Linked DNA regions of Pelodiscus sinensis. Each later gene encodes a partner of the first gene's protein in a complex. Links are inferred from orthologs where the notes say so. Each region holds a gene or a part of one and is shown on either strand. Other genes may lie near its edges.

What was found.
Region 2: the proteins of ORC4 (region 1) and ORC5 are in contact, whole or in part, in a cryo-EM structure (PDB 7JPO), measured with the Homo sapiens proteins. The link is inferred for Pelodiscus sinensis from reciprocal best matches to the Homo sapiens genes ORC4 and ORC5. Residues at the interface, in NP_001177808.1 of Homo sapiens: Ser18, Gln21, Arg22, Arg25, Glu26, Cys29, Arg30, Gln31, Arg69, Thr74, Asn100, Leu102, Leu103, Gln104, Ile105, Ile109, Glu113, Arg116, Asp162, Arg277, Met281, Met284, Leu285, Asn288, Met311, Asp312, Ser313, Lys314, Asn316, Ile317; in NP_002544.1 of Homo sapiens: Ile17, Ser20, Leu21, Phe22, Gly23, Glu24, His26, His27, Phe28, Ser29, Phe30, Pro31, Tyr36, Gly37, His38, Thr39, Thr98, Phe99, Asn100, Val103, Arg104, Arg131, Glu134, Asn136, Pro139, Gly140, Arg143, Gln145, Glu146, Leu147.

Annotation. Positions count from the first base shown.
Region 1 is NC_134717.1:25,683,479-25,692,912, reverse strand, and holds the start of ORC4 (origin recognition complex subunit 4), read left to right. Parts: upstream 1-5,772; 5' UTR 5,773-5,922; intron 5,923-5,932; exon of another isoform or gene 5,933-6,608; intron 6,609-9,434. UniProt on the Homo sapiens protein: Component of the origin recognition complex (ORC) that binds origins of replication. DNA-binding is ATP-dependent. The specific DNA sequences that define origins of replication have not been identified yet.
Region 2 is NC_134711.1:24,345,452-24,354,522, reverse strand, and holds the start of ORC5 (origin recognition complex subunit 5), read left to right. Parts: upstream 1-5,315; 5' UTR 5,316-5,445; intron 5,446-5,480; exon of another isoform or gene 5,481-5,569; intron 5,570-8,892; 5' UTR 8,893-8,974; coding exon 8,975-9,071. UniProt on the Homo sapiens protein: Component of the origin recognition complex (ORC) that binds origins of replication. DNA-binding is ATP-dependent. The specific DNA sequences that define origins of replication have not been identified yet.

The DNA.
Region 1 (9,434 bases):
CAAGAAGTAATGGAGATTTTTGTAATGTGGATAGCTGTGGTCGAGGAGCTGAAATGAGATGGTCAACACATTTCAGAAAAGGTCAATGACTAGCCATCATATGTAAGAGATTTTGGATCATGTTTCTGGATTCAAGTCAGAAATCTAGAGATGAAAGACTCTATGTTCCATTACCAAATCCTTGAACCATACAGTTCCCCTATTTTTTTAAACTTTAGCCAGCATAATCGGATAATAACAGATTAAGAATAATTTAAGAAGTGCTTATATACACACACAAGTACACGCACGCATACACTTCTATTATTTACCTTATGCTTCACTCTCTTTAGGCAGTCTTAGCAAAGCCGCCAATGAATTTATGAATTTAAGGCCTGAAACTCCCTCTGGTTTTTAGGTGGTTAATCTAAAGATATTATAAACATGTAATTAACAATCTATCATTTTGGGTCAAAATTGCTAAAATTAGTTAAAATATTAACAAAATTTATTTCCATTAACTTTACTTAAACACTAACATCTCTTATGTATTACAGGAAAGTAGATCTGAGTCACTTTTTTCTAAAATTTCATTCCATGTTCCTTTTAATACCTAATGTGTATTTTGGTTCTTATATGGCAGTAGTCTCCAACCTTTTAAAGTATGAGATCACTTTTTGAATTTAAGTGCAATCCAGGATCTACCTCAAACCCAAATACCTTTGCCCCACTTCCTTCGTGACACTTCTCAAAGGCCCCGTCCCTGCTCACTCCATCCTTCCTCCCTGTCATCAGAAGGGAGAGAGGGTTTGGGGCACAGTCTTTGGTTTTGGGCTATGGGATTTGGAGTGTGAGAAGGGCTCTGAGCTGAGCCTGGGGCACTGGTTGGTGTGCCATAGGTGGTTCAGGGTAAGGCTCTGTAAGGGAGTCTGGGTCTTGGGGGGGCTCAGGGTTAAGGCAGGGGCTTGGGGTGCAGGAGAGGGTTCATGACTGGGACAGGGATTCAGGGTGCAGAATCCAGCTGGACACTGCTTACCGCAGGTGGCTCCTGTGAGGTGGTACAGTGGGGCTAAGGCAGGCTCACCCCTACCCTGGCCTTGTACGACTCCTAAAAGCAGCCAGCAATTCCCTCCATCCCAAACCCTGTTGTGCCCTCCTCCCCTGTTCTGTGGCGATAGAATATGGAGCGGGAGAGGGGAACAGCTCCAAGGCAAAGGGCAGGACTTTCACAGCAGTGGGGGAGGGGTAGTGGACGTGCCAGCCCTTGACAGCTTCTTGGCCTAACCAGTCAGAGGCTCCAAGATCTACCAGTAGATCCCCATCCACTGATTGGTGATCGCTGTTATACAGATTAAATGAACCTTACTGGAAACTGTATGAGTAAAATTATAGTTTAAAAATATTTACAGGCACTAACAATTGAAAAGTAAAGATGGCTCTCTACTCTGCATCATGTTTTACTCCCATTGAAAGGAGTGCCAAAACTGATTTCAATGGAACCCAAACCATGGAATACATTTTCAAAAGCACCTCAATGATTGTGGGCCCAAGTCTCAATTTTCAAGCGACCAAAGTTCTTATCTCCTAAGTCTCATTGAAAAATCAATGAGATTGTTGACTTAAGTGTTTAAGTCACTTTGGAAATGATATATGCATTTTTGAAATTAAAGCCCTTACTCTGAGAACTGCTCTGCACATGTGGGCTTTTACACTGCAAGAAGCCCTACTGTCAAGAATGGAACTCCTTGTGGTCAAAAGGTTCTACCACCAAAGAGTAGTCTGAAGGAGTGAGGTGTGTCTCAAGAATTCATTGCTGATCCACAAGCTAACATTGTCATCACTGGCTGTGTTCAATCAACTAGTTCCTGAATGCTGATCTCCCTTAAATAAAATCACTGTGAAGAAAATTGTGAAAAAGTCTTACTGACAGAATAGTAACTACAAGCCTCAGTGAAAAACAAGACAGTTTTTTGTTAGTAAAGTTGTTAATGATACCACAAAGGTTCAATTTTCCTAGATAGATCAATTTTCAATTTTCTGATAGATCAGAATACTAGCTTCCCAATAAAAAGACAAGGGTCAGGACCATAGAAAGGAACACGTTTTGGTTAAAGGTGAACAATACTCCTTTACAAAAATATTTAAATCTAACTAAAATAAAGATCACATGCTTATGTAAAATAACTAGCAAATAAACAAACTAATCACCAAGTTAACACCAGAAGAAACTGATAATTTTGAATTTAAAAATACCAACATATAGATCTGACCTGAACAAGATCTTTAAATGTTTTTGGTTTGTAAATCTAGTGTAGCCTACATAGTTATTGTAGCTTCCTGATCATTCAAATCTAACTCTACAAACACACATTTTTGGTAAAAAAAAAAAAAATGAACAAGAGACATAAATAAATGTTGCGTATACAAATGATCTAGTTTTCAACAGGGAAAAATACAGAAATGTTCCTAAATGCCTAAAAAGAAACCAAAAATCTTTAATACTTGCTTATGATACTAGAATAATTACTTAAACACAGAACAAAAAAATGCTACTTAGTAATAATTGTTGATTACTAACAGTTTCCCATAATTCCAGTTGATGCAGTTTTTAGCAAATTATTTAATATTGTATATTATGGCAGCATCCTAAGGACCTCTATTACAATTAAGGCCTCTTTGCAGTATAGTGCACTATACATCACAGAAATAGACTGTCCCTGCTCTGACTGGATTATCATCTAAGGCTTGGACCTATATTCCCCAAGATAAGCCTCAGTGAAGTCAGTGATGGTCTGCTAGCACAGACCTGACTGTAGAATCAGGGCCTAAGAAATCTATGATCTCAAACGCAGTTCCTCCCTATAGAGAAAAATTTGTAAAGATACTGGGTTAACAAACCAAAACCTTCCAAAAACTATGATGTTAGAAATTTGGCTCAATTTTTTACTGAGCAACCAGTTTAAAAATGTAGTTTACAGATTTTAACATTAAACCAATAAATTGAGCATTTGCCCTATGTAATAAATAACAAATTTCTCTCTTTGTATTCTGGATTTGCAGGATAAATTGCAGATGGAGTTGAAATAGGACTGACATTGAGGGCCTAAACTTGAACATAGCATAGGTTTGTATGTGCAGATTAAACATATCAATGGTACCTCAGAGTAAGAAAAGAATTAATCACATTATAAAAGGTTGGTATGAAACAGGAAAAAAAGATTATTCCTGGATAAGCTTTTAGCTATGTGTCTCTAGTGTTGCTTGTAGTAAAATAAAAAGACAACTGCAGTTTTCAAGAATGGGTTCCTATACATATTTGCTGATCTCTAAAAGAAATTTTACTTTACAAATTGGATTTTTTAAATAATTCTGAATACAGCAAGTTGTTTTGCCTTCACAAGCTAAACAGAAAACTAACAGGAAGACAATTCTACAGAACTATACTAAGATTTGCTACTCCAACCTCTTTTCACAATATTTTTCAAGTATTCTTCTACATTTGTTTTTCTCCAATCCTTTCCAACCTTATCAAATTGCTGTTTTCATATTGCCAGCTTGATCATGAAATTGATGCTTTGCATAAAATATTTTCTGCTGATGCAAATTATGGGATCAGAAATACTGAAGCATTTACAAGTGAAGGGATTTGTGCATTCCTCTTCAAGTACTGGATAAAGATGTACATGTAGCAAGCTGAATCCCATTTTGCTGAGATGCCCCATTGAAAAGCACAATCTCTGGCCTACCTCACAGTTTAGAAATAGCTTGCATTATTTACTAAATTAATAGCACACAGCTTTCTTTTTAAAAAGAGAATTACATGACCAAACAAATACAACACAGAAATCATTCACAGGCAACATTATTTTTTAAAACAAATGCCCTTGTAAAAGAGATGACATTGAAATATAAAACCAATTTATCATTAACTCAAACTTTCTTCTGGATTCCTATGACTCTAAAAGACTTTTCGGATGCTTTCCTGAAAATATAAGTTTAATTATCAAATTAAGTAGATATTTTTGGCATGTGAATTTTACAATAATGAAGAAACTAGTTAGTTAAAACTGAAAGTGGTACCTAACCCAGACAACTATTTAGTGCAGTACATATTCTGCTAAAGAGATTTGGCCTTCCTATCAGCAAATCATGACAAAAAATTAATGTAAAATATTTAAGAAGAACTAATTCCTTATTCTAAGTATATAGATGACATTGCATATGCCCTGATCCTGCTAATATTTACATATTAGAGTAGACCTATATTAAGATTACTTAGATGCTTAAAGTTAAGCAGGTGCATAGAGCTTTACAGGATCAGGGCCTTAATGATTATATAACTAAGTTTAGTTATTTATATTATTAACAGCAGCAACATGCATCTATACAAAACAAAGACAGATAAAAAATTCCAAAGAATTTTCACCACCATATTAATATTTTTGTCTTTTGAATTTCCTATTTTGACACAGGAAATACAAGCACTTTAGAAAGAAGTCACATATAAAAACAAATCTTGACCCAACCCCCTTTTAATACTTCACCTATCTCTTTACACAGAAAACTATTTGTTCAAAAGACAAATACCAAAGAAAACCAAGAGACAAATACTGCTCCCAGAAACAGCAAATCCCCAAATCTAAAGCAGCTCTAAAAAGAGGGAGATGTTGGAACACACTTGAGAGTACCATTAGCAATGCTGGATCATCATCTACCATGACATTTCCTCATACACTGAAAAATAAATACAACTGAGGTAGGACATGGAGAAAGGTTTCCACTTCCTCAAACAGTGAGTAAAAAGTGACAGATATGAGCACTGTAATATCTTCTTCCCAAACAGGAGTAGGAGGATTAGAGTAATACACAAAACTGAAGTCTATCATTTGGAACATGAAAAATAAGCCACTTTGCCAAACCAGTAAACAATCAAACTATCTATCATCAAAACTAAAAGATGGAAAACAAACACTTTCCCCAACCCCAGCCCCCAAACCTGCCTGCCCTAGAGAAGCAGAGGTGGGAGGAGGTATTGCTTGCCCACACACAAACACACTTACCTTGGCTGCACCCCACTTTTATTCCCTTCCCTGGAGCAGTGGAGAAAGAGACACACACAAAGGGTAATAAAGGGGGAGGAGGGGAGAGCAGGGGGTGGGGGAGCTGGTGAACTGGCTGCTGCTCCTCTGTGTGTGTGGTGAGGTGTCTCCAGCCAGGGCCAAGCAGCAGCAGCAGAGAGAGAAGGGACCGTGTTGCTAAGAGGCTTTTGGTCTCTTTCTCTCTCCTCTGACGGGCGGGGGGGGGGGGGGGGGGAAGAAACTCTCCTTCTCTCCCTGTGTCTCCCTGGGATCTTCTAGCTGGGCTGGGTTGGGGAGAAACTCAGGCGCCTCACACCAACCCTTCCCCTTCCCCACACACCAATTCAAGATGGAATTAGTGCTCTGTCCCTTTAACAATATAAATAAAAGGTCCCCCAGTCTCCCCCTCTCTCTTCATCATCAGCTGCTGCTACTGCTGCTGCTGCTGAGGCTCTAGCTCTGGCTGGGAGAAAGATGGGAGGCTGCTACTGCGCGTGCGCCCCAAGGGGGCTCGGTGGGTTGAAGGGGGGGTGGAAAGAGGTTGCTCTCCACAATGCACCGCGCGGCTGGAGAACCCGGAAGGAGATGCCGTTGAAGGAAAGGAAGTTGCGGAGTGGGTGTGGGAGGGGGAGGGAGAAGTGGAGCGGAAGTGAGTGAGTGGGCGTGAAGGGGGCAGAGTTGAGGCGAGTCAAGAGTGGCGGGGGGAGAAGGGGCGGTGCTATAGTCGCCACGTGACAGCGAGCGATGTGCGCGGGGGGTGCCGGGAATGTTTCTGGGGCACTAGCGGGCGAGGAGGGAGGTTGCGCTACTAGAGATCGAAGCGCTCGCGCAGGCGGGCGATAGCGAGTGAGCGGAGCCGGCCTAGGTAGGGCATCCGAGGGCCAGGCGCGCGAACCGGCAAGGAGATGGCGGGCAGTGACAGGACGTGGCGGAGGAGGGCGGGCGAGCGAGCGAGAACCCTGACCCGGTGCGGACGAAGGGCGGCGGGGTCCCGGGGGTGTTCCCCTCCTGCCGCCTTGTGTTCCCGGGCCCCGTGGGGGGCTCTGTCCCGGTCTCAGGTCCTTGGGCCTGGCTGTTGTGCGGCGGAAGGGCTGCGTCCCGGTGCTCTGCCCCGAGGGGACTTGGGGGGGGCCTTCGGCAGCGCGAGGCGGGGGATGATGCTCATGGCGACGCGGCGGTGAGGGCTAGGGAGCATCGCGCGCCAGCGAGGCCTCGTGAGACTCCTGCCTCAGGAATCGCTTCCTGCCCAGTGAGCCCGGCACTGATCCGGGTGGCCGTGCTGGCCTTGGGTCACTTGCTGTGATCCTGAAAAATTGAGTCGCCCGACTTCGTCCCCAGTGACCTCCCAGCAGAGCCGAACTGGTGTCTGGTGCGTCCGCTTCTGACCCGTGCTGACCGATGCTGACGCCTTGTGTGTTGCAGAGGGGAATTCTCTGGAAGAAAGAGCAGACGGTGATACCGACTATTCGTAGCTTAAACCCGGCTTCTGGGCATTCCTTTGTGCCAGTCAAAGGCACTTATTATTTTTGTCAGATTTCTTAGGCACTGAAGGTGAAACTTCTTGTAATTTTAAAGTTAAAGTGGTTGAAGTGCCTCCAGTTGAATGGATGGAAAACTGAAGGAGTTAATTTTATTTACAAAGGTGTTTATAGCCACCTTATCTGGAACATTGTTAACTCTACTTAACATTGACTATGCTCTGTAGGGGCAGATTTTGGGTGTAAAATAAAAAACTTTACACAGTGATTAACCAGAATAAAGGTAGATGCTGCACTATAGATCAATCCTGCATCCTATGATTGCTCCTTTGGACTTTTTGAATTAGGCTCCTTTCTGGTGGAGCTTTGACTTTGGTTATATCTACTCTACAACTAAGCAAACCTAACTTAGGATGTTCAGAGGTGTGAAAAACACACTCACTGAGCAATGTAAGTTACACCAAGAGAAATACTGGAGTGTTCAGCACTGTTGGCAGGGGAGCTTCTCCCACTGACCTAGCTACTGCCATTTGTGAAAGTGGTTTTATCATGTTGGAAAGTTTTTCTGCTAGCATAGAGCAGCTGCACAAGTCTTGAAGCATCACTGTTGCTTATGTAGACATTACAGCTAAGACCATGGGCTCACCTAAACTTTGTTTTTTATTAGATTTGGTTCTGTGGAACAAAACAAAGTAATCATTGGTGCTCTCTCATACCAAGCACTGAAGGTATCAAAATGAGCGATTACAGATCTGTGAAAGCATTCTCCTTTCTTACTTTAAATAAAATGGTTAACAAATTACTACAGTTGTCAATAATACATTAACACTTCAGTTAAATAAAGGGGCTAGCGCACAGAGGTAGGTGATGTATTTTGGTGTTATTGTTGAGTAACAGAGTGGGTCTTCATTGCACTGTTAACCTGAGTGATTGGCATGTGGGATGGTCTAGTGAGTCAATTTGTGATCATCCCCATAACAAATCACTACTTACATTCTCATTGCATCTGCACTTTTCAGTGTATATCTGGGATCGTATCTCTCATGTGTCTTTGTGCTGAGATGCTCTAGGATTCTTTGCCTGTCAATTGTACAATGTGCAGGATATATATGAGACTTCAGTGACTTCCGTTTTTTTTAATCTTCTTCCTATTGCAAAGCGAGTGTGTTTCAATCAAGCCATGTAAGCTAGTCCAGGCTTAGCACATCCAATCCTATACCATGTGTCTTTTTCCAGATATATGGTAAGCATTCTGGAGCTAAAAAGGTTAACTCTCCTTTGAGACATACCCACAGACATTTGTGGTTTCTCTGTTCAAATTTTGAGGCTTTTATGCAACCATAGCAATTGAAGACTTTTTTTTTAAGCAAAAGCTGAAATCCTGTTGAACATGATAGTATCTTCAAAAGAGTACTGATAAGGTTTAAAAGCACGTCAGCTGCTTCTGAGCCCTGGAGATAAACTTAATTTATAGTGTTTTGTTTGTAGGTACCATTATGGTAAGTTACGCCTTATTTACACCACTCTGCCATCACAACTATGTCAGAGATCTGAAAGGTATGATCTCTACAGATTCTTATGGCATAGCTATGTTGTAGGGAAGATGAAGCAGCACTGGCATAACTGCTTTTACTGGAACGGAGGTTTTGCCTTTTTTGCTCTATCCACATTAGGAACACTTTTATGGTATAGTATTCCATTGGTTCTATGCTGATAAAGCTTTCCTATTGTGGATATAGCCTTGGCTACAGCAGAGGTCATTTGAAACTTTTTGAATAGTAGCTTTTATGTAATCTTAACAAAGGCCAGAAAGGAACTTTTGATCACCTTCAGTGACTTGTGTAATACAGGACATTCAATTTCACCCAATAATATCTGTAGTATAAATGAAATATTAACCTCACTGAGAACATACATACATGTACACAAGGAGTGTGATTCTGCTACTCTTCTTCTCATTGATCCAGTGAGTTCAATAGAACTACCAAGTGTAAGAAAGGGCTCCAAAGTTTGGCCCTTAATTTTTAAAATCCGAGCATACATCAGTCGCGCAGAAGGTTGCATTATTTTCTTTATAAAAAGTAGTAGTATTCACTCTTAGCTTTTCTGAGTATCTGCAATGGTTGGTTTGTTGTTTTTAATTGAGGATGTGGACATGGTGGTAGATTTAAAAAAAAATGAAATTCTTAACAAACTGGTGAACAAGTGAGGGGAATAGTGTTAATTTTTGTTCTGAAACTGTATATTGTTAAACTACCCAGTAACAGTAACAGGAAACTCCTTTCTCCATATAATGAGTTTAATTGACTGTACTTAAAAATAGTTCCCATGTATACTGGAAATAGTCTCTCCATTAAAACAGGTATGTCTAGAAGTACACCTATGTTGATTGTTGTCCACAGAGATGTTCTGTATTTCTAAAAGGTAACTAGAAAACGAGAATCTTCTTGAAAGGTAAAGTGTAATTGATAATCGGATGTAACTGATTTATAATATGAGAACACTCCTGGGACTGCTCCAATCCTCCTGGGGCAGCCCCTGCCTTAGACACATGCACACTGTCTGCACTGGGCCCTGTCCTGCTTCAGCCTCCACCCATTAACCAGAACTGGTAAGTATCACATGTTAAGGGTGCTGTTCAGGGCTCAACAAACAATGTAATCTACTCGCCTGTGGTGAGTAGATTACACCTCGGAAGAGCCAGCGCAGAGCAAGAGCCGGCGCAGAGCAATCTGCACATGAGCAGAATGATCTGCGCAGAGCGCAGAACCACACGGCTGCTTGGCGAGCCCTGGTGATGTTTACCAGTTAACCTTTCCTATATCAGTGCTGAATGAGATAAATAGTTGAGTGTTGTCAGCTGTGGCCTGGTCTACACAAGGGATGTTAAAATATGTTT
Region 2 (9,071 bases), on another chromosome or scaffold:
CACAATGCAAATTCTTTGTGGGAACAGTATCTTTGGGATCACAGCTTGTAACATGGCAGAACTATTGTGGGTCAGTGACCAGCTTTCACTAAGCAGCAATCAACACTGACTCAACTGAAAGCGTTATTGATGGTTCATAATCATGCTGGAAGAGCATAACAAGTGGGGTTCTGCAGGGGTCTGTTTTGGGACTGGTTCTGTTCAATATCTTCATCAACGATTTAGATGATGGCATAGAGACTACGATTATTAAAAGTTGGCAGATGATACCAAGCTGGGATGGGTTGCAAGTGCTTTGGAGGATAGGGTCATAATTCAAAATAATCTGGACAAACTAGAGAAATGGTCTGAGGTAAATAGGATGAAGTACTCCACTTAGGAAGGAAAAATCAGTTTTACACATACTGAATGGGAAGCGGCAGTCTAAGAAGGATCTAGCAACAGTCTATACAAAAGGATCTAGGGGTCATAGTTGATCACAAGCTAAATATGAGTCAACAGTGAAATACTGTTGCAAAAAAAGCAAACATGATGCTGGGATGCATTAACAGGAGTGTTGTGAGCAAGACATGAGAAGTGATTCTTCCACTCTACTCTGCACTGATTAGGCCTCAATTGTAGTATTATGTTCAGTTCTGGGCTCCATATTTCAAGAAAGATGCGGAGAAACTGGAGAAGTTCCAGAAAAGAGCAAAAAAAAAAAAAAAGAATAAAGATCTAGAAAACATGACTTATGAGGAAGACTGAAATAATTGGAAATGCATAGTTTGGAAAAGAGAAGACTGAGAGGAGACATGAGAGCAGTTTTCAAGTACCTAAAAGGGTGTTACAAAGGGGAGAGAGAAAAAATTTTCTCCTTGTTCTCCGATGATAGGACAAGAAGCAATGGACTTAAATTGCAGCAAGGGAGGTTTACGTTAGACATTAGGAAAAGCTTTCTGTCAGGGTTGTTAAACACTGGAATAAATTGCCTAGGGAGGTTATGAAATCTCCATCACTGGAGATATTTAAGAACAGGTTAAATATCTATCAGGGATGATCTATTCTCCACAGTACTTGGCCCTGCCATGAGGGCAGGGGACTGGACTTGATCTCTTGAGGTCCCTTTCAGTTCTAGCACTCTATGAACTGTATGGCTACATCTACATTGGCAAGATTTTGCGCAAATACTTTTAACGCAAGAGTTTTTACGTTAAAGTATTTGTGCAAGAGAGCGTCTACACTGGCATGTGCCTTTGCGCAAGACACGTGCTTTTGCGCAAGAGCGTCCGTGCCAGTGTAGCCATCGGGCTTTCTTGCGCAAGAAATTCATGTTGCCGGTCTACACTGGCCTCTTGCGCAAGAACAGTTGAGCAAGAGGGCTTATTCCTGAGCGGGAGCATCATAGTTCTTGTGCGAGAAGCACTGATTTCACACATTAGAACATCAGTGTTCTTGCGCAAGAACTCCCCGCCAGTGTAGACAGGCAGCAAAATCATGCCAATGTGTAGACAGCCTAGGAGTGGGCTACTGAGAATGACTGAACTGCCAGACCTCACCACTAGGCAGCAAACACCGGTGGCACTCTTTTGAAGCTTTGCCATCTGTATTTTCATGCACAGCTGTGTTTACAATGTGAAATAAACAATAACTCAGTTTCTGACATGGCAATGATGCACTGTTTTACACATATAATATTGGATATTTTGGTTTATGAGAGTGTGATGGACCATCAACCCATGCTTTATGAAATGGACTTCTGGACATAAATATATTTTACTCATAGATGCTTTGAACAAATTATTTCATGTAACCTATCAACCTTCATGTCAAAATCCGCTGGTTCTGTTTATTTTGGTGTATGTATCACTCTTGTGTGTGAAATTAGACACATGGAGTAGAGACTATTTTGTTTTTAAAATATGTAGATGGAAAGGCATCAAGTGGGGCCTCAGTGTCTGGGCAATCATATGCTATTGCCTTTTGTCCTTAAGGCTTAGTAGTGATAGTTGGGAGGGACCAGATGACTCCCCATACAATAAGGGTGTGTCTAGACTGGCATGATTTTGCGGAAATACTTTTAACAGAAAAGTTTTTCCGTTAAAAGTACTTCCGCAAAAGCGCGTCTAGATTGGCACGGATGCTTTTGCGCAAAAGCACCCATGGCCAGTCTATACACGATTTTGCGCAAGAAAGCCCCGATCGCCATTTTAGCCATCGGGGCTTTTTTGCGCAAAACAGTTCTTCCCTGTCTACACTGGCCCTCTTGCACAAGTATTCTTGCGCAAGAGGGCTTTTTCCCGAGCGGGAGCATGAAAGTATTTGCGCAAGAAGCACTGATTTTGTACATTACAAAGTCAGTGCTCTTGTGCAAATTCAAGCTGCCAGTGTAGATAGCTGGCAAGTTTTTGCACAAAAACAGCCGCTGTTGCGCAAAATCTTGCCAGTCTAGACGCACCCTAAGGGAATTCTTTAAAAAGAATAGACAAAGAGGAGTCTAGGTCTTTGGGCTGGCTCGACACACCCAGGGAGGATGAACCAGAGACCCTAGGCAAAGTGGAAATGTCCTGGTTTTGAAGGTGCACCTGGAACAGAAACAGTTTTAAGGTGAGTTTATAGTAAGTTTGTGCTGAGGATTTTTGTGTCAGAATTAGCTAAGCGCCTGTTACTTTTGAGTTTGTAATCTTTTTTGCGCTGACTATTCTCACTTATAACCACTTAAATCCTATTGCTTGTACTTAATAAAATCACTTTTGCTTACTATCAAGCCCAGTGTAAACAATTATTACCTGGGGGAGCAATCAATGTGCACATTCCCCCTTTCATTGTTAAAGGGGGCTCACCCAAGTAATTAATTGGGGATTTGATCCCATTTGGGGGAGTGGTATCCCAGGAAGCTGGGCCCCAAACTGCACTCTCCTTGGACCTGAATAGGTTCAGTGTTGGTACTGCTTCATGGGGGGGTGAGGGGTAGTAGGGATATGAGCTCAGGGCCTTGGCTGGGGGAAGAAAAGTGGAGCTAGCCTAGCAGCACCAGGCAGTGAAAAGCCCCAGAGAGTAGGTAGGTGAGTGGCAGTGGCCATGTCAGTACTCTGGGGGGCACACCCAAGGGGTCTTCCGTGACCTTACCCCGTCACAGAGACAACTTTGTGTGACGGACCGGGCCATGTCTGGGCACAGCTGAGGGCGTCTGCTCAGGGCGAATTGCTCAAATCCGGGGCTCCTTACAGCCCCCAGACTTGTGACCTCTCCATACAGGCCACAAACCAGTCCCACAGAACGCTTCAGCAGCCTGCCTGAAGCCTCACAAGCAAAACTCCTCCGACACCCCAGCAATAACCATGCCCCAGATGGCCCCGGACCTCATACACAGCTGGGGGGTCCTAGCACCCAATCCCACCTACCCCGAACAAGTTCTGTCCGGTTCCAAGAAATCAGCCACAGATCTCTGGCCAATTTATCCTTTGGACCTTACCCACAAATCACACTGGGCCAATCCTTTAGCATCTAACAACTAAAGGTTTATTAACATAAGAAAGAAAAGCATGAGAGTAAGGTTATTAAAGTACAGTACATTACATGCACCGAATCTCCCAGTTCTCGATGCAGGCTCTAGCAGAGATGTTGCAGCTGCTGGTTTAAAAGTTCTTATTGCACATCCTAAGATCAGGATGGGTTCACAGGTCTTCCGGGCTCTTCGATCCCTGCAGTGCTGCCTCTGGGATGAAGTGCTGAGCTGAGAACAAAATGGCATCGACCACATGGCCTCTTTATACCTCCTTCCTGGCCTCTTCTGGTATGCAGCAGGTCACCTGGTCCTCAGCCTCTCTGTGTTCCCTGCTGGCTGCTCTCAGGTGACAGCCCCCATTCTTTGGGTGTGTCTTTGGCCCATTGAGAGCCATTGTTCCACAGGTAATTAGCATGTCCACAGGCTCCACAGGCTCGGCCCTGCCCAATGCTTAACCACATGCAGGGAAATCTTCAGTGTCCACACAAGTACATGTTAATAATTGCACACACAGACATTATACAAACACATGAACAGCGTACATAGGATTATCAGATATTCAATACCTCACATGGCCCCCTTCTATACCATTTTTGGGGCCAACACCCCCACCTATGGGTGCATCAGTGATCTGGCTGCTCCCCTCAAGATCCAGCAATGTGACACTTTGTTTAAAGGGAAAAAAAATCACTGCCATCTAGTTTAGCAATCCTTAAAGCCTGGTGCCCTAAGTGACCACCTAGATCAGGCCTGGGAAAAATACGGCCAATCCCACCAGATCCAGCTCACAGAGGCACCAGGGAGACCTAGGCAGCTCCCCTGCTTGCCCAGCAGGCTGTTCAGAAATGTGGCTATTTGACCCTCTTTTCCTTGCAAAACTGTAATCTTGGAAGGAGGGAGGGGTGAGCTTCAGGCAGTGCCCCTGCCCCCAGCACAATCCCATTGGCTGGTTTCTGGCCAGAAACTGGCCAATGAGAGCAGCCTGTCTGAATAACAGGCAGCCAGGAAGCACCACCCCCCTTCCCCTCCAGCTGTTATTCACAGAAACACATGGCTAGGTGCAAGCTGGCTGACAGAGAAACATTTTAAGATCCGCAGGAAGGCAGATTTGGCTGCTGGCTTGTGAGTTTCCTGGCCAGAGCCTGCCTCTAGCACCCCAGCCCCTCCCTTTGCCAACCCTCTCTCCCAGATCTGCCCCCCCCCAATCTCCTGCACCAGATCATAATCCACTCCTACCCTAGGTCACATCCTAAAACCTTGCATCCCAGTCCCCTCCATTAGGTCACAACCACCTCCTTTACGCATTCTCACTCCTGCACCCCAAGCCCTTACCCCAAGCTCCCTTCTGCACCCAGCCTCCATCCCAGACCTTGCACCTCTTCCATTAATATCATGGAAGAGCGAGGCCCTTGACTACTTTTTCCAAAATCTTGGAGTGGCCTCGTCAAAAATTACTGCCCACCCCTGGCCTAGATAGTCAGGTGAGCCCTGTCCCCAGGCTCCTCCTTGTCTTCTGCCATCCTACTGCTCCTCTTCTCTCTGGAGCCCAACATCCACTGCCCTCGGGCTCTGGGAGAGGGGGGAAGGGGCCCTTTAAAGCACCGCTGGAACCCCCGGCAGCGCTGAGGGTGGGGGCGTTCCATGGTTGGGGCGGCTCTTCCACGATAGCGACCTTCCCCTCCCCCCAATTGCTCAGGGCCCAGCGAGGCTGTCGGCTCCCCCATTGCTCTTGTTCAACCCTAAGCCACACAAATTTCTGGCTTTACGCTTGGGAGCGGGCGCAGTATGGGCGTGGTTACCAGGGGAAACTTCAATTTCCTAACGCGCATGTGCAGAGTTGGCGCTTGCGCATTCGGGAGGGAGGGGGGTAACCATCGGAGCAATGTGCGCATGCGCAAAGGCGGGCGCTCGGTTCGGAGTCCTCGCCCGCGAAAGCAGCGTGACCGTTGGGGTTCGGGGTGAGTGTCCGGTTCTGTGTGTTGGCGGACGTTTGCGGGAGGCGGGGGGAGAAGGGAGAATGCGCGCGCGTCTTGCCTAGGCTCGCGCGCTGTGAGAAGAGCTGCGGTGCTGCCAGGGCTCTGGGTCAGCGGAGGGCCTGAGCGGCGGACAGAGTCAGGGTTGCCCCAACACGGCAGGACCTGGAGGGAGGGAGGGAGGGAGGGAGGAGTTGCGGCGCGCTGGGCACGGGGTGTGGGTTGCCCAAGCCGGGGCTGTCCGCTTCAGGGGGGTGCCGCTGCCTGTTGGGTTAAAGTGTGGGCGGAGCTGGGGTCTGTTTTCATGTCTACTCCGCCTCTTCACACCCGCAGCATTAGGCGTGGGTCTGGGCGGCGTTGCTCTGTGTGTGTGGGGGGTGGTTGTGGTGGCAATGGCCGCAGCGATCCCCCCTCCCCCGCCCTGACAATCACAGGGTGCTGGCTGGAGCAGGGGTGCAGGAGTGAATTGCCTCCCCAGAGACTGAGGGGGTTATTGCATGGGTGCTAGTGGGAAAGTAACCACCATGTTCGAAGCTTGCAGCAAAGTCTTGAGCTGCAGGGTCAGTTGTCTGATGAGTCCTGGGTTTTTAGTGGCATATAGTAAAGTGCCTTTAGGAGGTGGCACAATGAGGTGATTGTATTGTCCTGGTGCACTATTGTGATGTCATGATATAGCCATGCAAATGAAGGGTGGATCTCTCTGGTCTGCTACCCTCGGGACCTGACCAGTCCTGGATGAGGGGTTTTGCTGGACCAGCCTCCTGGCAGTATTCCTCTTGCCACCAGCCTCGCTGGTCCCAACACCTCCTTCCTTTCCTACTATGATGGTCAGCCCAGCTCCCTGTGTGCTGGGCTCCTGGCCCCATTGGGCAGCCCTGCTGTGGCACTCTGGGCTTCCAGCTCTGCTGGGTTGTGCCTGGCTGTCCAGATGCAGGGCACCAAGCAGCCCACCTGTGGGGAACCCAGCTGTCAGCCCTCCACCGGGACTCTCAGGTACAGGAATATCTGTGGTCCTGCTGGACAACGGATATTGCCGGACCAGGGAATCCCAGATTACAGAGGTTCGACTTATAGCATGGTGTCAAGATGCAGTTTCACACATTTTAATGGTAGAAAAATGGGAGGTAAACCTTGAGAGTCAAGACGGCTTGGTTTCCCGTTTCCCATTTCCCAGTGCAGAAACAGGGATGCTGCGTGCTCTCCTTTCATTGCTCATAAAAAGGATTTGCCTCGTGGGTATTTTAATGTTTGTAAAGCTCTTAGTGTATCATCTTTACATTGATAAATCATAGATCCTCCTCTCAGCTAATGAGGTATCTTGCTTCATCCAGTCCTATGTCAGGTTGTTTCTTCTTAGTCATTATTTTAAACTAAACATGGCCAAAACCTGAGATTTTTAACCTTTCCTCACAGGTTCTCTCACCTGGCCATCTTCTTTTATCAGCATAGACAACACTGCTGTTCTCCCTGTCACTCAGGCAGTGTAGTTTAGGTGTGATCTTTGATGGGGCCACTATGTTTTTAATCTTGCCTTTTTTTTAACACTGATCTTGAAAATCTAGCCTTTTGTCTCTTTTCTCTGCTCAGTGAAGACTCTCATCATAGTCCTCATGTTGACCTGATTGCTGCAACTTTTGCTTGCCTTGAGTCTATTCAAATTAAAGACCGCATTTCTGGTTCATCATTCTGATCATGTTAATTCCTAGTTTGCGTTGTCAATTGGCTCCCCCTTAATTTTGACACCAAATAAAAGCTTCTTGTAGTGCCTTTAAAGCAGGGGTCGGCAACCTTTTCAAACCAAACAGCCAAACTGTCTCAAAATTCTAAACAAATGATCATCAAAGAGCCGGATAAGAATGCCCATTTGCATAACAGAAAATATACAATTTAATATTATTAATAATTGACATAATGATTAATAGCATAAATGAAACCTTGTGCTCATGGACTTTATTTAATGGGACTTCCGTTGCTGCATTTTTTTGCACATTTCTTTGAAGTTTACATCATAACTGGTCAAATCCAGCTTTATGAACGCATTCAGGCTGTCTTTTGTCAATCTTATGGCGGGGGCTGGGGATGTGGTCGTGCAGGAGTCTTGGTGCAAGTGCATGAGGGACTCAGGGCAGAGGATTTGGGTGTATGATGGACTCAGTGCAAGGTTGGGTTGTGGGGGCATGCAGGACACAAGGTTGGGTTCTGTGGGGGAATGGGCTGAGGACAGGCTTACTGGTCGGGGGCAGGAGTGGGCTAGGGGCAGGGTATCTAGCTGGGAGGGGGGCTGAGTGAGGGGAAGTTTGGGGTTTGGGCATGAGGGTTGGGGGGCACTATGTGCTTTCACATTGAGTGTAACATAGCCCCCCCGCTGCTCCCATGTGCTGGAAGGAAGTCTTTAGACAGGATTCACAGGTGAAGCCTGCATGAAGTGCTTCCTAAGGGAAAGAGAATGGCACACAGCCGTTGGTTCCGCACCGGGGGGGAAGGATGGTGCATGGAGCCATTTTTCATTCTGTCTGTTCCCCACATGCAAGATCCGAAAGGGAGGCTCAGGGCTTTCCCTCCTCACTCCTTTCCCCCCACAGGAAGCTGGTGCTGGCGTTCCAGTCTTGTAGGGGTCATAAGGCTGTAGCGCCAGCTCTGGCTCAGTGCTGCTGCAGGAGCTGGGAGGCGGCTGAGTAGGGTCTCCAAAAGAGTCATATCTGGCTCCCTAGTGAGCCATATTTGGCTCGCAAGCCATGGGTTGCTGACCCCTGCTTTAAAGTCGTCTCTTAACTTAGCTCCTCCTATCTAACTGATTTAGTAACCTATTATGTCAGCCTATTATGATGTTTTTACTCTGCTAGTGCTTGCTCCCATCCTTTATCACCCATTAGTTAGCTGCTTGTTAAAAACCTCTGTGCTTTCGCCTATGCTGTCCCTGATGCTCAACATAACATATGAAGAATCACTTCTTTATCTTCTTTTTGAAACCTGGTTTTTGCTGTGATGTTTACTAATCTCAGCTTGTTAATTGTGGCTAAGCAGATGACCAGCTGAGACTATTCTCCTTTTCTTTCTCTACTCTTTTTCTTTGCACCTTTACTCTCAAAAAGTAAAGTTAAAACAAACAAACCTGCATCCATGTAACTAGCAAAGTCATGACCGCTGTTCACCATGTTCATTGCTCATTTGTTGCATCCACAACTTCTCCTTTTTGTTTGTCTTAAAATTGTAAACCCTTTAGGGCAGTTATTGTCTCTTTTGCTTTTATTTCCTTATAAGGCTAGCATTACTGGGTCCCAGTGCTGAATGAGGTCTTTGCGTTTTTCCATCATATTAATAGTCGTCATTCCTGTTAGGTAAAAAGTCTGATTATAATGAAAGATTGTCACCTCTTATTTATTTTTACTTCATTTCTCCGTATATGAACAAATACAACATTTTATTTTCCAGATCATCACTTCGGTCTTATTTTCCTATTGGAAGGTGACATACATATACAGTTAGCTGACTGGTGACAGAAACGTGAATCAAAATGCCTAATTTTGAACATCCAGAGTATCCAGAGGCTACCTTACTTCACTTGGAAAGTATGGTGCCCTGTCGAGAATCCCAGGTGTCATCACTGTTAT